Bombyx mori: one gene and its partners. Each later gene encodes a partner of the first gene's protein in a complex. Links are inferred from orthologs where the notes say so. Each region holds a gene or a part of one and is shown in the gene's direction. Other genes may lie near its edges.

The links.
Region 2: mediator of RNA polymerase II transcription subunit 19 (region 1) and mediator of RNA polymerase II transcription subunit 18 share a complex: the UniProt entries of both Drosophila melanogaster proteins name them as parts of the mediator complex. The link is inferred for Bombyx mori from reciprocal best matches to the Drosophila melanogaster genes MED19 and MED18.
Region 3: mediator of RNA polymerase II transcription subunit 19 (region 1) and mediator of RNA polymerase II transcription subunit 8 share a complex: the UniProt entries of both Drosophila melanogaster proteins name them as parts of the mediator complex. The link is inferred for Bombyx mori from reciprocal best matches to the Drosophila melanogaster genes MED19 and MED8.

Annotation. Positions count from the first base shown.
Region 1 is NC_085116.1:16,052,218-16,058,322, reverse strand, and holds mediator of RNA polymerase II transcription subunit 19, read left to right. Parts: upstream 1-2,389; 5' UTR 2,390-2,914; coding exon 2,915-3,095; intron 3,096-3,181; coding exon 3,182-3,553; intron 3,554-4,074; coding exon 4,075-4,235; 3' UTR 4,236-5,795; downstream 5,796-6,105. UniProt on the Drosophila melanogaster protein: Component of the Mediator complex, a coactivator involved in the regulated transcription of nearly all RNA polymerase II-dependent genes.
Region 2 is NC_085121.1:5,595,861-5,602,128, reverse strand, and holds the start of mediator of RNA polymerase II transcription subunit 18, read left to right. Parts: upstream 1-2,606; 5' UTR 2,607-2,925; coding exon 2,926-3,018; intron 3,019-3,457; coding exon 3,458-3,592; intron 3,593-3,877; coding exon 3,878-4,082; intron 4,083-4,352; coding exon 4,353-4,465; intron 4,466-6,268. Other genes in the region: exosome complex component RRP4, read right to left, coding at 204-389, 984-1,118, 1,200-1,437, 1,511-1,635. UniProt on the Drosophila melanogaster protein: Component of the Mediator complex, a coactivator involved in the regulated transcription of nearly all RNA polymerase II-dependent genes.
Region 3 is NC_085118.1:10,645,395-10,651,413, reverse strand, and holds mediator of RNA polymerase II transcription subunit 8, read left to right. Parts: upstream 1-2,357; 5' UTR 2,358-3,058; coding exon 3,059-3,232; intron 3,233-3,536; coding exon 3,537-3,782; intron 3,783-4,369; coding exon 4,370-4,466; intron 4,467-5,730; coding exon 5,731-5,966; 3' UTR 5,967-5,992; downstream 5,993-6,019. Other genes in the region: uncharacterized protein LOC134199859, read right to left, coding at 1-2,045. UniProt on the Drosophila melanogaster protein: Component of the Mediator complex, a coactivator involved in the regulated transcription of nearly all RNA polymerase II-dependent genes.

The DNA of each region.
Region 1 (6,105 bases):
TAGCAATCTGCACTACTTCTCTATATTCTCTATAAGTGTGGGAAATTTCATACTTCTCCGTCCGCGCAATTTTCGTTAAAAGGAGTACAACATTTTTGCTTCACGTATTACCTACTTAAAATGTAGGTTCTTAATAATAATACATAAGTGTTTTGAAATATAAAACTAATCTTAAATTTTTTAGTTATACCACTTCCATTCTAAGGGTACAATTTCGTAAACAAACTTTGCCGTAATGGCGTAACCTTTAAAATACACGAAAACTGCCCAGCATAAACATATTTTTTTAGTAACTTTAATAGAAGTATTAGAATTAGAAGTTTGTTATAGAATTTATTTAATTGTAATTACATATTTAGACATACTTAACATAATTAATCTTGGAATAGGTAATTATTTCAGCTTTTTTTAATTAAAGAAATTATGTTTTACATAGGTTTAATCATTTACCCGTTGAACGTTTATAAAATGATTGTATTTACGGTAATAGTATGATAATATGATCTTCATTAGGTGGCCCAAATATACTAAAATTATTACGAGCATCCATCCTTATTTATAAATGTGTAAAGAAGCAAAATTATTATTACATTGTTCAAATTTCTATATAATTTAAAAATATAAATCTGTACGTATGTACCTGTAAATATGTATATTGCGCGCGCGCGTGCGTGTGTGTATGTGTGTGTGTGTGTGTGTGTGTGTGTGGGTGTGTGTGTGTGTGTGTGCGTGTGTGCGTGCGGGTGTGTATATATATTTCTATAATAGATAGGTACACAGTGTGCAATTCATTTCGAAATTATTCTTGCCCATCTAATGGTTGTCTGGAAGAGATCACTCTTAGCGATAAGACCAAGAATGTTTCGCAATATTTATTCATTTTGTGTACAATAAAGAATACTCTATCTCACTCTCTCTCTCTCATCAAACATCTCTTTAAAAAAAAGCAATGATTTAATAAGAATTAAATGAAAAAGCAAAGAATTAATATGTATTTACAACTAGCTAGACGTCTATAAAATTTTCTAACCGAAAAAATATATGTGTATAAACCATTAGAATAGATAAAACCTTCAAAAACAACATTATTATTAAAAACGAAAGAAAAAATCTTGATATTATATTGCTTTCACGGCAAAAATTTTAGTGACTACTTAACTTGCTTGAAAGTGAAGAAATACTCTCAAAATCCATTAATTTGCAACTCGCACTCGCACATACAATAATCGAGAGGCTCACTTCGGTAAAGCTATTTGATACATGAGACAGCAACATAAACAAACCTTCTCTCTCCCACAAAATGAGATTCATAAGCTTACCACTAGGTGGCACTGATACAACCTCACACAAAATAAACATAACATTAACATCGACTGAGTAATTAAAAAAACTTGCACTAAGCACAGGTACATTACCCATTACCCGACTAATTATAAATATCGTTAGAAAGCTTGGCATTTCAATTAAACGCCTTAAAAAAAACCTTGCGTGCTACCAATATAAAAGAAAAAAATATCGCTTTTCAAAATGAATAAACGTCCTGCAAATCAAGTAACTCGCACTCAGAGCTCCGCACGTTTCACCGTGAAGAGCGTACACTCGATGCGAGTCATTCGATTCGATTTTTGAAACTCGCACTAAGCCTACGGACGTCTTATAGTTTAAGCCAGGACGACTTAAACAAAAAAAAAAGCCTAAGCATTTGTTTCAATAAGAATGTTTGATTTTTTTACTGCTTCAAAGTTTGAATGAGCTCATGCTTTCTTGTTTAGTGGATTTTTTAAAGATTGTATGACCTGTTACCGAGACCTTTTGTTGGACGGTTAAATTTGAGAGGACTGGGTTCTGTAGGTGAGGGGCTATTTAAAAACACTCTGCTTCATGGTTAATATATAACACCATTACAATATTTTATTTTATAAAACCCTAAGATGTTGCATAGTCCGTGTCTAGAAGAGAAGCCATTGTCCTCACTCAAGAGAAGACTCATCTGTTTTAAATATTTAAATAAGCATTTCAATATTCGAAAACTGTAACCTTACATGTGTCAAGTGTTACCTGCCATTACTTACATATTCAAACTCCAACACCATTGGACCAGTTTTAAAGTGTTTTCAAAGCTCATAGACATCACAATTCATTTTCCATACAAAATTATCACGGAAGCTCCAAGTGCTTATGTGTCAGAACTATAATAGACTATTTCAACTAATTCAAAACAAGTCTATTTTAATTAGACAGTTGCTATTTTAATTTGAGAATTGCTAGTATTTAATTTAAATATAAATTTCTTGAGAACCAACAAAACCATGTACCTATTGTTATGATTTTCTTTAAATAACAATATTAGAGTCTGTGGGAGTTACAAAGCTAGTGTTGCAACAGGACTTTTTGGCGGGAACGTGAGGAGTGAAGTTGTGTGATTTGTTTTATTTTGTCTATTTAGTGTTTCTTCGGGTTTAAATGTGTAATAATGGTGGTTTATTAAGTGTTTAATATCTGTGAAAGTGCGCAAATGTGGAAAAATGAAACAAAGCCGCTGGACGTAACTTCTCGGGATCCTCCAAAAAGTCCACTGAAAAAATCTTAGTAAATGACCACCATTTTACTGAGATTATATTTCATCCCATTTCATTTCATTTAATTTCATCCCGTTGATTAATATCTCAAATTAGTCGTCTTCATTATTTCACTCCATAATATTATTTTTCATAAAAATTGAATATAAATTAAAATAAGACATGACTTAAAGGTCTCAGTTCCCTTAAAAAAAAAGTGTTGCAACATTGTTCCTACTTTTATTTTTTAGAGTTGTCAAAAGCTTGGGAGTAGGGAAGGTCTTTTTAATTTTTTGTGATTTTGTTTAGAGTATTTAATTTATTTAAGTTCGTTTCGTAGATAATGGTCATCCAAGATGATGTCTGATCAGTTTAGGAAAGTAGAACCATATTCGCCAAAATCGTCGCCGAGGGGTGCGAGGTCACCAGTCGTCTCTCGCCAAGATTCTTCTGGTACACTCAAAACTACTATATCCTTAGGCAAAAACCCGTCTATAGTGCACAGCGGACCATTCTATTTGATGAAAGAACCCCCGGGTCAGTATCTCCAACTCTTTAACATTCTCTTCTCAAATTCTTAAATAATTATATTCAGGAAGTGACTTCGACGATTTCTTTTACAGGAGAATGTGAACTGACAGGCGCTACAAATTTAATGGCCTACTATGGACTTGTACATTCTTACAGTAAGTTTAATGGCAAAAAGCTGAAGGAATCCCTATCATCTTTCCTTCCGAACCTGCCGGGCATCGTTGACGGACCTGGGCAGGACGATAACAGTACTCTAAGTTCAGTTATAGCTAAGAGACCAATTGGTGGTAAAGAATTACTGCCATTAACTAGTGCTCAGTTGGCAGGTTTTCGATTACACCCTGGCCCACTTCCTGAGCAGTACAGATATGTGAGTGCAACACCACCAAAGCGACATAAAAGCAAACATAAGAAACATAAGCATAAAGATGGTGCACCTCCTGGGCAAGAGACACCTTTACAAGGTAAGAACTCAGAACTCAACAACATTGATTTAATAGATTTAGCTATGTCCCAAGCTTGTAGACAATATTACAAATTAGCCACCTGTAGATGCTATTTAGGTCTAGGTGAGTCTTCCAGGCACTTTGACTACATTAATCTAGTTAAGACAGTATTTGAATTGCAGTGTAATTGTACTCTGCATTTTACATTTTGTGGTACTAACCCGTGCGGGCTCAGAAGACACCCTATCAATTATTTTTAGTGAGTCTGTTTACAACACTGTCCTTCACTGTGGAAGTCAATTGTGAACATTTGTCAAGTACATATTTCATAAGGAAAAATGGTACTTATCTGCGGGATTCCAACACTAACACAGTCGCATCACTCAATATGAATGCACCAGGCGTCTTATTCTTTAGGCCACAATGATTTCATTTAACTTTAGATGTCAAGTGATACTTTTTAAATTGCTTTATAAGTTATATTATTTATACTCCATTTTTGTCTTGAGTTTTAATATAAAACATATCTATTATTCTAGATTCATCAAATCCAGACACATATGAGAAAAAGCATAAGAAGCAAAAACGTCATGACGATGAGAAAGAACGAAAGAAGAGAAAAAAAGAGAAAAAGAGAAAAAAGCAAAAACACAGCCCTGAGCATGGAGGCCTTACACCAAACCAACATCCATTACCGTAAATATAAGTGTACAAGTAGGTTTAAGTCGAATAATGAGCCCAAAGAGAGTATTGTACTAAAGATGACTAAAAATTAGTAATTCATTGTGTTCTAGTGATATTCCATTACTAGTGAAATGTACCTCTACACTTTGTTGTGCATATGACTAAATGTATGAACGGCACTCATTTGTTGAAACTACACGTGCTATCTATCATAAGTTGATTGTAATACGATGGAATGTTGTTAACATTTCATTAAAGTGGAAAGTTTTCCTCAATTGGTTGAATGGTATAATAACACAAGAAGAATAACATACAATTGGTTGTGGCCTAAAGGATAAGACGTCTGGTGCATTCGTGTTAAGCGATGCACTGGTGTTCGAATCCCAGGCAAGTACCAATTCTTTTAATGAAATACATACTTGACAAATGTTCACGATTGACATCCACAGTGAAGGAATAACATTGTAATAAAAGTCAAACCTGCAAAATTATAATTTGCGTCATTACTGGTGGTAGGACCTCTTGTGAGTCCGCATGAGTAGCTACTACCAGCCCGCCTATTTCTGCCGAAGTAATAAGTTTCGGTTTGAAGAATGGGGCAGCTGTTGTAACTATACTTGAGACCATTGCATTTATGTTACATCCACCCATCTAAGCAATAAAATAAAAAAAAGAGTAGATTTATCTGAATCTATATTTCTTCATTATTCAATGGGGTGTATATGTCCATAAAATGAAGAAAAAACGAAGTTTTTTATCACATTTTAAACCATAATAAGAAAAATGAGGTTTGCAAGACTTTTGTTTTTATGAAATACCTAAAATTGCTAGTCAGGCAATGTTTTAAACTTATAGCTAATTTATTATCTTTACTTCATAGTAATTACTTTTGATTCTGAACTTAAGATTTCTAGTAACTTCTACTTGGCTTTCAACAGGTTCGATTGCATGGTAGATTTAATAAGATTTTGTTATGCTAAGTTACCTAATAGAGTTAAAATGCCATGATGGCAAGCAACATTGTGTTAAGTTGACCACTTTGAAAGAATAATCACATCATTCTCAAATGTTTCTAATGCAAACATTAGGAATTTATTAAAAAATATTACTAATTAAGAATTAAATTTCTGAGCGAATTGCCCACAGAGTGACATTAAAACAAAAATATTGTTACTGTTGAATTCCATGAGGTCTCTTCCATCTCTTTGGGCTCGACTCAAAGTAATGTATTTAATTAATATTTAAGAATTTGTTATAAGAAAATCGTTCTGTTTACCAAGTTAAGCTAAATTTAATGTTTTTTTTTATTATTATTTAGAATACAATAAAACACACCTGTGTAGGTAGCTGCAGACGAAAAAATATTGCAGAAATCTCTAAAATTTTCTGAAGCAAATTTTAGGAATAAATGAAATTGAAATTTTAAGAATTACATATTTAGTGGTAGGACTATGTTCTTTAAAATTTGCTTCGGCATCAATATAATGTCCTGTTAACCTGATAGTGTAATTGATAATTTTGTTTTCTTTTTACCACCCTTATAGAAATAAAATTTGATAGAAAGACATTATTTAAATTTTTGGTTTTATTTATCTTTAAGCATTTAAGGCTGGAATGACCTCTACAGTAAACAGTTGAGCGCCATTTTATTTTCTGTTTCTGTCCTTTTTTTGTTCAGTAACCATTGATAAGATCTAGATTACAAAAAAATATGGTACCGTACCTAATGGTTTTTCTTTAAATGTCCCTTTACTAAGTGGTTGTTAAGAGTTTTTTGTTTGTGTAGCAGTTATTGACGAACTTTACTATACACTAAAAGCTCCTTATTCGCGGGGCAAGCGTTCCGTGAACATGGAAAAGTACTTTTACAAAGGATATTATGTTGG
Region 2 (6,268 bases), on another chromosome or scaffold:
TGCAATAAAAATGATATCAGCATCATATTAGCATATGCAACAATTTCATGAGGGCATGAGAACATGCATGAGTTCTATTTTCTTAAAACATGGAAAAACACAAAGTTTAGTGAAAATGATATAATAAATCTTTAACTTGTGTTTATCGTTTATCTTTCTTAACTCCTATTCCCGAACACTGCACACTGATAGCATTAACCCACCTGAATTTCATAATTTTCAATTGCATCCTTATTTCCTTCCATAAGAATATCACTTTTGTGTGGACTAATCCATATATATCCATTATTCCCTATTATGACAGATACTGCACATGGTAAGTTGTGAAAATGATTTTTTCTGCGCTTTATCAATGACGGGAATACTTTTATTAAAGTTCCCTGTGAAAGCTGCAAAAAATAAAGTTTTCGAACAAACTCTTAAATTAATTTTTTTTTAGTATTAGCAAGGAGTAGAAAGTTCAACATTTTGTGATATTAATTATTATTAGAGGACTGTATGAATGATTCTATTTTAAGGTATGAAGGGCTATTTGGTTTAGAGGAAAGTCATGTAATTTAAAAATTGAAAAAAAAACATGACAAAACTTCTCCAGCTATTTCAATGGAGAATACTTAATTGGTGTTCAATTAAAAACAATTAATTGTATAAACTAATACCAAATAAAATTTACCTTTAATTACACAGATAGATGCCATGTAGTAAGCGAAGTGTCACTTAAAACAAATAGCCTTACGCCCCTTGATTTTATTTATTTAAACATATAGGTAGTGAATTAAAGCAGATTTAAGTGTTTGTGTAGACTTGTAATCAATTTGCTAATGAAGCATGTTTAATCTACTCAGAAGGATAAATATCATCTTCACTTTGGAGGATTTCAAAATTTAATGTTGCTACATATTTGAATATTTTTAATTTCCTTATAACATTCTTGTTGAACTTTAGAATAGTCATTTTTTATTGGCTTCATAAAATCTGATTACCTTGCCATATTTCAAACTTCTTGTATGCAATGAGAGCGAACCATCAGAAAATACATTCTGTACTTCAGCGCTTATCAAATCACCTTCCTGTAAATGTTTTCTCATCATCTGCTCATCCTCTTCTGAACGCCTTCTCTGGATTTAAAAAAATATATAAATAGTTATCATTAGATACAAGAAGATTGCTTTATATTATGGAAGTGTGCGTTAATTTACCAATTCTCCGCCAGGTAGATTTACTGAAGAAAGTTGAAGTATTGAATCAAGTCGTGAATTGGTATCAACTTTCCATCTTTTCTGTTGAACTTCCAATACTCTTCCGACTACCACATCGCCTATTTCTCCAACGTAACGACTCTTCAATGGGCGAATGCATATAAGTTTATTTACTTTTTGCATAACCCCAGCAACAGATGCTTTTAGGCAATCATCTTCTGCGTAAGTTCCGTGGCCTCTTAAAGTGCAAAATTATTAAATTTATAGTAATAATAATTCTTAACAATATTGTTTTCGCAAAAAATACCGACCTCATAAAATCTTGTATCCCAGTTATGACTTCGCCAGGAGTGTAAAAACGCGGCGGGTCATTATTTGAGGCAACCGAATGATTTACTCTTTCAGATGCGAGTTTTATAGATACATGACTGACCATTTCTAATGTTTTTTTAAGCTCCCTCTTTGCTAATTGTGAATTGTGTACAACGAACTCATAGACCTATAGTCGGATTTTTTATTAGACGAAGTCAACTGACGTTTACTGTGTTGTCAGGTTTTGATGAAATAAAAATAGTGTTGTGACAAAGTGAACGATTGAAAAAACTCCTGAATTAATGAAATTGCCTCGATTGTCTAGTGAATAGTTAGTGTGCCGAATTGCCGATATCGGGTACGGGGTTCGAATTTTAGGCGTGCTTTGTACAACCAATGAGTTTTCGACGAAATATTATGTTCCTATAGTATCTACCTGCACTGAATACCGAGTGTTTTAAACATTAAGAAAAACATTGCGAGGAAGCTTGTAAGACTGTCCTATTTCCAATACATCATATAGTTGAAATTATAGATGTATAAAATATAACAATTATAGGTATGTAATGAAAATAAAAAAAAGTAATTGTAGTTACATACTACTAGTAACATATATTGGAGCACTTTAATACAATTTTATTGTAAAATATAAATAATATTCTTTTATAGTTTGAAATTAATGATTAACTCTTCACACTCATTGTTCATTCATGTGATTGAACGAGAACTGAACAGATGATAAGGGATGAAATACAATCTCACTAAAATGACGGTTATTTACTGAGATTTTGGCCTTTTTGGACGATCCCGAGAAGTTACGTCCAGCGGCTTGGTTTCATTTTCCCACATTGGTGCACTTTCATAGATATTGAACAGTTAATAAACAACCGTTATTACAGGTTTAAACCTGAAGACACACTAAATAGACAAAATAAAACAAATCACACAATTTCACTCCTCGCATGTAGAATCATTGGTGACAAAAAATGTTTAAAAACAAATACGGCCGTACCAATATGATAATATGATGCGATACCATTGCCTCTCTCTCCTGTATTTGAAAAAGGAAATTACAAAATGTCACCTAAATGAGGCTAAATGTCAACATTGTTAGTAACTGTCAAGCTAACAGCGATTGCAAACATATCTCTACCTTGTTAAATTCCAATATGAGTATTTAGATTATGTTAATTAGAAATTAGAATTTATTTTCTCCTTTAAAATTGCCTAGTTTTTTATTTTACGCAATATTTATAGTTTCGGTTATATGGACTATTTAGACTGAATGCACCTCTATGAGACAGAAAAGTCGTTTATAAGTGTAATGATTTCTTGGCTCACACATAGTTCTTCAAAACTTAAATCTTTAAATAGCTGCTATTGAAGTAGGTTTTCAGATTTTCAGCTCCATAAAATGTCGGCAAACGCTGCACCTATAACAGCTACAGATAGCTTATCGCAAGCTTTAAAAGCGAACATTATACCAAATCAGGAATACTTACTTCAGGTACTACAGGATGTTGAAGTGGCTCAGCTATTTTAAATTTCAGAATAATTACAATATAGTCTACATTCTTCTACAGTTTCCATAAATTGCATACTTAACAGAACTAATTACCATAGTTGCAGCTATTGTATCCAATTCTTTTGACCCATTTGATCTGTTTACATACTACATTCAAAATATTATCAGAACCCATACATACATAGCTTACATATAATAGCAGCCCAAAAAAACATGAGATAAGGTCTTAGTTACAATGCCTACAATGCTGTTCTTAATAAATAAAAATAATTCATTTAATGATTTTCAATTTTACAGTATTTCATAGCTGGAAATTATGATAATTAGGCAACAGGCAGCAACTTTTCTCAAGATTCAGTCAAGTTTGTTAATTGTTGAATATTATACATTTAATTTTTGATTCCACTAAAATTTGATTAAGGGCTCAGTGTTGGACTCGGCAGTAGAAGTTTTACTTCACCGATTACGTGGTCTTTGTGACAATGTTGATGCTGGGCCAGAAACATTTGATGACCAGGAAGTGTGTTTCAGTCTACGGGATCCTAATCATCATCAGGTAATAATAATACTTAGAACTTTTTAAAATATTTCTGTTAATGTTATTATTATTTTAGGACACTAGAATATAAAATGGTTATAAAATTATAATACAATAAAACTTGTATTAAATTATAAATTGATTAAATTTTGCCTGGGCTGTCACCTGTTTGGTCAAGAAAAGTGCTAATGATTTGGTAATCACTATTAATACTGTACAATTCGTGAGCATAAAGACATGCCTGAATCTATATATTTTTCTTTCATGTTCTAATAGTTCATCTTTAATAAATTTAAATTTCAGGCTCCCCCTCTCATGTTGCGTGTTCGTAAAGCATTAGATGCTCGAGACATGCCATTTCAGTTACGATACATTGGGCAGCCTGATTTGGGGGACAAAAATAGGCCAACAGTTGTCCGTTCCAGTCTTGATATAGCCTGCAGTGGAATGCTCATTGAATTTTTAAATGAGCTAGGATGCCGAATTGAATTTGAATACAGTGTAAAAGGTAATAATATTTATTATAATGACAATTATGAGTAATATGATTGTACATGTATTTGATAGTATATTCTAAATCATCACTATTACTATACCACTATTGTTAATAATGACGAATCAAAGAAGACCAATAGTCAAAAATACTAATTCAATTTAAAGTATTACCTAGATTTGGGATTTAATTAAATTGCATATAATTTTCAGTGGTTCATTTAAAATCAATCAATTACGGTAATTTTATAAAAAACATTAAGCTTTTTCTAATTCTAAATTTCAGGTTACATGTTTAGAAAAGGTCGTATGAAAATTACTGTAGCAAAAGTGTTTAAGATTTCTCAAAATTCAATGCCACCTGAACCTATCTCACAGAGCTATCTTGTGGAGCTTTCTGTAAGTTTTTGACACCCAATTAAATAATTTGTCAAATTTCCCAAACAATACCGCTTTCTGGTTTTGCTTGAGTATGATGATTATATATGATCTTTAAGTACCGTAGATTGGGGAAAATGGGGACCCTTTCCAATTCCAAAACAAATTTTCAATGCTTTTATTCTTAGGGTAATACCAATAAAATTGAGATTAAAATGGCTCCGAAGGTTTAAATTTTTAAATACGATTCATTATTTTATATAGTTCATATAGTCACAAAATATACACAAAACCTTAAAAAACTTGCTTGACCCGATTCTCTTTGAATGAGGCTATTTCTCTCATTGACTTGTCCTTCTTCAAACGAGGCTTGTGGAGAGTATACAACGGTAGGCAGCGGCTTGGCTCTGCCCCTGGCATTGCTGAAGTCCATGGGCGACGATAACCACTCAGCATCAGGTGGGCCGTATGCTCGTCTGCCTACAAGGGCAATAAAAAAAATACGCTATGTATGGGGACAACAGAGTTTTTCGATAAGGCTGGCACTATTTAGTTCTTAGGTAGGTACCTAACTTTAGGTAATTAATTTTTTATATCTTTAATGAGATACAAAGTTTTGATATCTGAATTAAACTATATAATATTCTTAAACACTAAATAATAGTCATCTTCAGTGCAACAAAGTTATATCTAACAACCCAACAAGAGTATTGTGACATCCCAGATTTGTCCCTATTCTAACTCTAGTCTCTATTCTCCCCAATCTACTGTAAATAAACTAAAAATAAGGAAGAGATTTTTAATTTGCTGGCTTGGTTTTGATGTAAACAGCTTGGTTTTTTCAAGCTATAAAAACATAAGTAACCTAACCTACAGGTTTCCATGAATAAGTAAGGCTCAATAATAAGCTTCAATTGTTTTTTTTTCTTCTTATTTGTACGTATTAAGTAGATTTTATATAATTAATGTATGTAGTTGATGTTTGTAGAGCAATGTGGATTTATTTTATTTCATGTATGTTATGTGATGTGTAGTGTATTTCAGTTGTTGAAGACTTTTACCCTTCTTTAATATCTTTGGTTCCCTTAGGTTTGTTAGAACAAAAGACTAATTAATACATTAAACTCACCATTGGACATTCTTTTACAAGTCTTATTTTAGTATCATTTTCTGTGTACCTATAATATATAAGAATAAGATGATAGACTAACTTTTATTTGCTGATAGTGAGTCCTGAGTCCTATAAGGATTGTGCGCCCAAAATGTTATATAAACTCTGCTACTTAAACAATTTTGGGGATGCTTAAACGACAAAGGGAAGATCTTCCACCGAGCGGATGATATTGCTCGGTAGACCGACGGTCCGAATGTTGTTATTCGGAACTTGTACATATGCGCTTTATCTTGAAAATGTCGTAAGCGAGATTCAGGCATCTGTCAATTATCTTGCGTTGTATGATGGCTACCCGCCACATCACTCCCCTCCGAGACTGGAGGTCGTGTCATTTTTAGATATCGTTGTCCGTGCTGAGATTAGCTTGCAAGTGCCAGTGCTGCTCGAAGTTTGCGGTGAGTCGAAACTGAGCTTGAATGCTGCGTGATTGTCGCCAGTGCTGCTCGAAGTCTGCGGTGAGTCGAGACTGAGCTTGAATGCTGCGCGATGAGGCAGTGTAGGTGCGTGCCGTAGGGCCAAGAAGCGCGGTTAGTCGGCTGCGATGGTCCTGTTGAGGCTGCGATGCTGGCTTGCTGTGGGACGACTGTCGATGACTTGCTTTTATCTGCGAGAATGCGGGGATTGTGGTAGCCGAAGTTCTTGATGCGCCG
Region 3 (6,019 bases), on another chromosome or scaffold:
ATAACTTTGGCAGCATTAATAAAATCAATACCCAGTAAAGTTTCATTATCATTAGAATCAGGGAAGATTATAAATGGAATATCAATCACTATGTGTTCTAACCTCACTGGTAATATGGTTGTCAATACATCCATATTCCGAACATGCCCATCAGCAAGTTTGACTCGCCTAGTGGAGGGAGTAAGAGGGTGACCCTTATGCAGAAGGAGAGCATACAGCGTGTGACCAGCAATACAATGCTTAGCTGCTGTATCTATAAGTGCAGTACCCTGATTACCGAGAACTTGAATTTTGAAAATAGGCCGTAAATGCAAATACCTATCATCACTCTCACGGTCGTACACGGACGCTACAACACTTCCCTCACATGTACAATAATTAAAATTCAGACAATTATCAATTTCCACACATTCGTTAATTTTTCCAAAATTACACTTACTGCCTTTTGTGTCACAGTCATGGTTAGTTGAAAATTTTAAATTATTACAATTTGGTTCAATTATTTGATCATAAGGTAAAAATGAGTTCTTACATTTAGGTCTAGTTCCCTGGTTATAACAAATATTTAAATTTTTACACTTTGTCCGAACATCCTGATTATATAAAACATGAGAATAACAAAAGGTTGGCATCTCATTATTACTAGTGCAATTACAGTTAATATTCTTTGACACAGAATCATTACAGGCATGAAAATAAGATTTTCTGGAAGTAGGGCCTCTGTTAATGGTAGCATAATTAATATTTGCATCCCGGTTACAAAAATTTTGACATTCAAAATTACTCAGAAAAATATTTTTGTCATGCTGCTTAACATCATACATTGCATTCTGAACAGGTAAATTAGAACTAATTGTGTTAGTATTATTAACATTACACTGAACACTATAAAACGCATTATTGTCATTTTGCACACCCTCGGAAAAGTTAGATTGACTTTGCTCACCTCGGTTGTTTAACTTACGGCACTGTTCCCGTGCATGTCCAAACCGTTTGCAGTAGGAGCACACTGGACGCTGTTTCTTCGTGGTCACGAATTGCTCTGCAGAACCTGGCACAGCAGCGGCAGGCGTGGCAACGGTAGGCTGGGCGACAGCGACAGGCACAGCGGTGGCGGGCACGACGGCCGCGGCGGAGTTTGGAAAGCGCGCGCGCGGCGCCGGGGCACTCGCACGAGCGGCGCACGGTTCAGGCCGACTCGCAGCCTGGGCCGGCTGGGCACGGATCGAACGCACACCACTAGTGGACGACACTGGTCTCGATTGAGTCTCCTCTATCGAATCTTCTATATTCCGAGCATGGTTTAATAATGAATTGAAAGATGTGATTTCTTCACGGCGCAATCTTGTGCGTATTCTATTATGAAGCAACCCGTATATCATATCAAGTTGTACTTTTTCAGCAATATCATCCCGCGGTAGCTTTGCCATAAGCGCACGAATACGAGCAACAAACTTGTCTGTGTTTTCTTTATCCTGCGGGGAAACAAATATTTCCAAATATATTCTATGTGGTGGAAGGCGGGTGCCATATGCATATATTAAATTTTCTTTGGCTTCGTTCCAAGTGGAGATGTGATGCTTTAATCCTAGCCACCACGTAGCTGCGTCAGCAGACAAAAGCATGGCTAGGCCTCGTATGATGTTAGCGTCAGATACTTGAACGCATTCTGTATAACTTTCAATTGCATCTATAAAGGCCTCAACAGATTCACCAGGTGCACCGCTGAAAGAAGCTCTGCAACGCGCCAAGGTACCATCTACGTTCACTGGGGGCATCGGCGGAGGTGCCGGAGTCGACGATCTTTGTTCCATCACGTACGACATAATGTTCTTAAATGTTTCGGCCTGCGAACGTTGCAGCGAGGCCATCAACGCTGAAACATCATCCAAGTTGAACGTAGAATTGTTGCTACGTGATTCGGCGTGGGGGCGATCATGGGGGCTATCATGCTCCTCGTGATTTTCGTTGGCATTTGCATCTGCAGCAGGAATAACGTCGTCTTCGCGACGTTGCTGGCGATCTTGACTTCTAGTTAAAGGCATTCTTTACAATTAAGCACCAACAGCATACAATAGTTAGCAAATTTTTCACAAAAGCGTGCGCGCCATTTTGTTAGTCCAAGCAAGAAAAAAATTAGGAAACGTTGGGCAGCCAGATATAGTGAGGGGTAGATCTCAGGGGTATTTAAAACTATGGGTTAGTCACCAATATCGAATTTCGAATTTTAATCTTCCTTTATAACAAACAATTTTCAATTTTTAAACAATAATTACATTTAGACGCGGGCGCACGCTATTCACACTCAAAACGGAAGCGCCCGGAACATAGATTATACACTGTTACAAGATTGACATAGATACTAACTATGTATAGCGAGCGGGCATACGGCCGCGAGAGTGACGTACCGGTCGGTTTGCTACATATTTAATATTTGTTCAGAGTGGGGGTATTCATCTGATTAATCCATGGAATAACCGACACACCTAATCTCTTAATCCAGATAGAAATATCAGCACTGTCGATTGCACCTATAATTGAGGTGATGTCTGCCATGTACTTTTGTCAGTTTTTCAATTTTTTTTATTGATGATCACTTTGTTGGTGCAACTAAATAAATAAATAAATTAAAACTATATATAAAAATAAAAGTAGTGCCAACCCTAGCAAATTTCTCGTTTCGTCCCAATTAACCGCAATTTTCGGGTAAATAGGGATTACACCTATTTTTGCATTTTTTGCTTAAACTGGAATGCTAGTTGCATAATTTTAAATTAGACAACAAAGATGCCCCCAAGACTCAATCATTTTGATCCTGATTTAGCATTATATACATCAACAACTACCTTAAAATTGCTCATAAAGTTGGAATTTGTCCCTAATCGCCCCATTTTACGGTACGGTAGGTACCGTATGGTACCATTTTGAGATATATTACTTATGTACCCTTAGTCCCTTACGGTTATTTAATAGCTAGGTAAGGTACGGTACCTAAACCTTATTAAAATCTAACAAAGAGAATTAAAAAGTTACAATTGTGTACCTACCATTTACAACAATGAATATGCAGCAGCGAGAAGAAAAGCAACTAGAAGCTACAATAGTTGCGATTTTAAATAGAGTAAATGATTTAAAAACTGCAATACAAGCATTGATAAATAAACTAGAAACGGAATACGAGACAATAAATTGGCCAACTTTTCTAGATAATTACGCGATTTTATCTGGTCACGTAAGTCCAATTGTATATTGAAATTCATAGCATAAATAGTGTGTGTAATAGTCAACAAGTCTACAGAGATGGATTTCAACTTGAAGTAGGAAAGATAATTAATTTATTATTGAAAAAACAGTGAAACAAAAACTGACGAGTTCAAAACTCACTTGATGTAACCTGGTTAGCGTGGTCACTGATATTTATTAGGTATTATCCCATTTTGAGACTTGTTTTCAGATTTAAGTGCATTTGTACATAAGCTTTTCACTTTAAAGATCATGTGTTATTTAGTTAAATTTTATTAACTCTTTATTTTCAGCTGACTGGCCTCAGTAAAATTCTCCAAGCCGAACAAGCAGCTTCATTGCGGTCTAGAATTGTTTTACCACTTCAATTAAGTTGCGAACGTGATGAAACACTGGCTCATTTGACAGAAGGCAGAGTTCCAGCTTGCACTCATGATTTAGTTCCAGATTTACTTCGTACCAAACCTGAACCCCAGGCTGAACAGCGTCTCCAGCAATTTAATCATAAAGCTAGTACTTTAAGCTATGATACAGCACAGGTATAGACAATAATTAACATTTAATTTTAAATATCAGAAACATTTAAAGAAGCATAAGGTTTAATGTACCACAAGGAAAAATATCCATTATAACTATTTGGGCTAATTTTTTATGACATTCTTTGTAGACTTCGCAATCTAAATTAGTTTTCATTGTAAACGGTAAAAAAATAGATATATTTGGGGTTAAAACATGTAATGCACTGTTGAGTGAATAAACCCACAGCTCACTTGAGATATAGTGGCTGGGACCCATAGATATCACAGAGTTAAATCAACCTCTTGCTTTGAGATATTTGGTTGAAGTATGTATCAATTCTTTCTTTTTTTTGTTGTATCACTTGTCAGGGTGGTCATGGTCATCATTCAGTATCATTGCAATCATATCATCATTGAATTCTATTAAACTATGTATAATAAGTTCTTTTATATAATCAAGATTTGTCTGCAAAATTAGCATGATAATCAAGTTGAGTACTTAAGACATGCAATTATAACAAGCTCACTTTCTCATGTAATGTTGTGTAGTTGTTACCTACAATTATATAGATGGATGATGTATGGATTATAATAGTTTTATATTCCAGAAACACATTGCTCAATTCACTAAAGTTGTCAGTCACGTTTGGGAAATTATATCCAAAGGCCGCGAAGACTGGGAAGGAGAGTCAATGAGATCTACAGGTTAGTAAAAGTTACAATAGAAAATTATCATAATTACCTAAACAGTTGACAGATTTTAATAAACATTTCATTCATATTATGTAGTCCATTTTTAACTTCTAGAGGTTGAAAAAAGATGCGGGTCACTGTAGTGAAAAACAATTTGTCTTCAATAAAATTTAGACACACATGCTTATCTTATTTCACCTGACCCAAAACACATGCCCGAAGTCTCAGTTGTATGGCAGGCAGGCATCTTATAATTCAAACTGGCATGCCTGTTTTCTTCATAACAAAAATACTTATACACGTCAGTGACTCAGGATACACTCAGCTACTCACAGTTCTAGACCCCAGTCATTGGTGAATATCTACAGAAAAGACAGGTGGGATTATTCTGACCATTGTACACATATCCTAAGTTATTAGTTCATATAAGGTAGGTATGACTTTACTTTGACAAAGATGAAAGATGCCCACCAGAGATGCCCAAGATTTTGCCCACCACTTAAACAAGTATGATGATAATGCAATTTCACAATACAAGCAGTGCGATTATGGAATTCTCTCCCTCAACCTATTTGTGCTAGTTCCTCTCTAGAAGTTTCTAAGAGTCAAATGAAGAAACATTTCCTGTCACTTTAAAAAAGTGTATTTAAGTTATTGTTTTATGTATGTTTATATGTATTTTTCATTTCATATTAGTTTTTTTTTAAAGCTTAGTTTAAAAATCATGCTTTAATAGATTTTGTATTGTACACTATTCCCCTCTTTATACATTGTATTTCTCTCTGCTAATGGTTTGCTGGAAGAAAACTCATGAATGAGTTAAGCTCGCCTTTGTGCATAGTATTTAGACATTCTTTAAATCTGTTTTTATTGTATTTTCTTTTTGTGTACAATAAGTATAAATAAATAAAATAAATAAATAAGTATGATGATAAGTTTTTTCATTGAAAAATGTGTACTGACTTAGGAGAACTGAATCACACCATAGTAGAACAGCTAGAGACAGTTAACTGGATGTTTATGTTTTAATATATATATTTTATGTTTTATTTTTCAGTTTAAGGAAGTTTTTTTTTTTATTGTTTAGATGGGTGGATGAGCTCACAGCCCACCTAGTGTCAAGTGGTTACTGGAGCCCATAGACATCCACAACGTAAATGCGCCACCCACCTTGAGATATAAGTTCTAAGGTCTCAAATATAGTTACAGTTTTTTCTATAGGTATAATTATTTGAAGTTTTACTGTATATGTTATATGTTTTGTGGATTTTTTAAGGTATGCAACCAACACACAACATTGCTGACACGCATGCTTTAGTAACGGCAGTAGGAACGGGAAAAGGGCTACGACCAGGTATGGCGAATATGGTTGGTCAAGGGGCAGCTGGAATGGGACCAGCTCGAGGCCCGGCTCCACAACTCGGTCCTGCGCCCTCTACTCTTCCTAAGGCACCTTCAGCTATCAAAACCAATATCAAAGCTGCTAATCAAATACATCCTTACCAAAGATAATGTAAATAAAAATACTTAATTTCTTCTGAACTGTTTCACTCTTGACAGAGTGG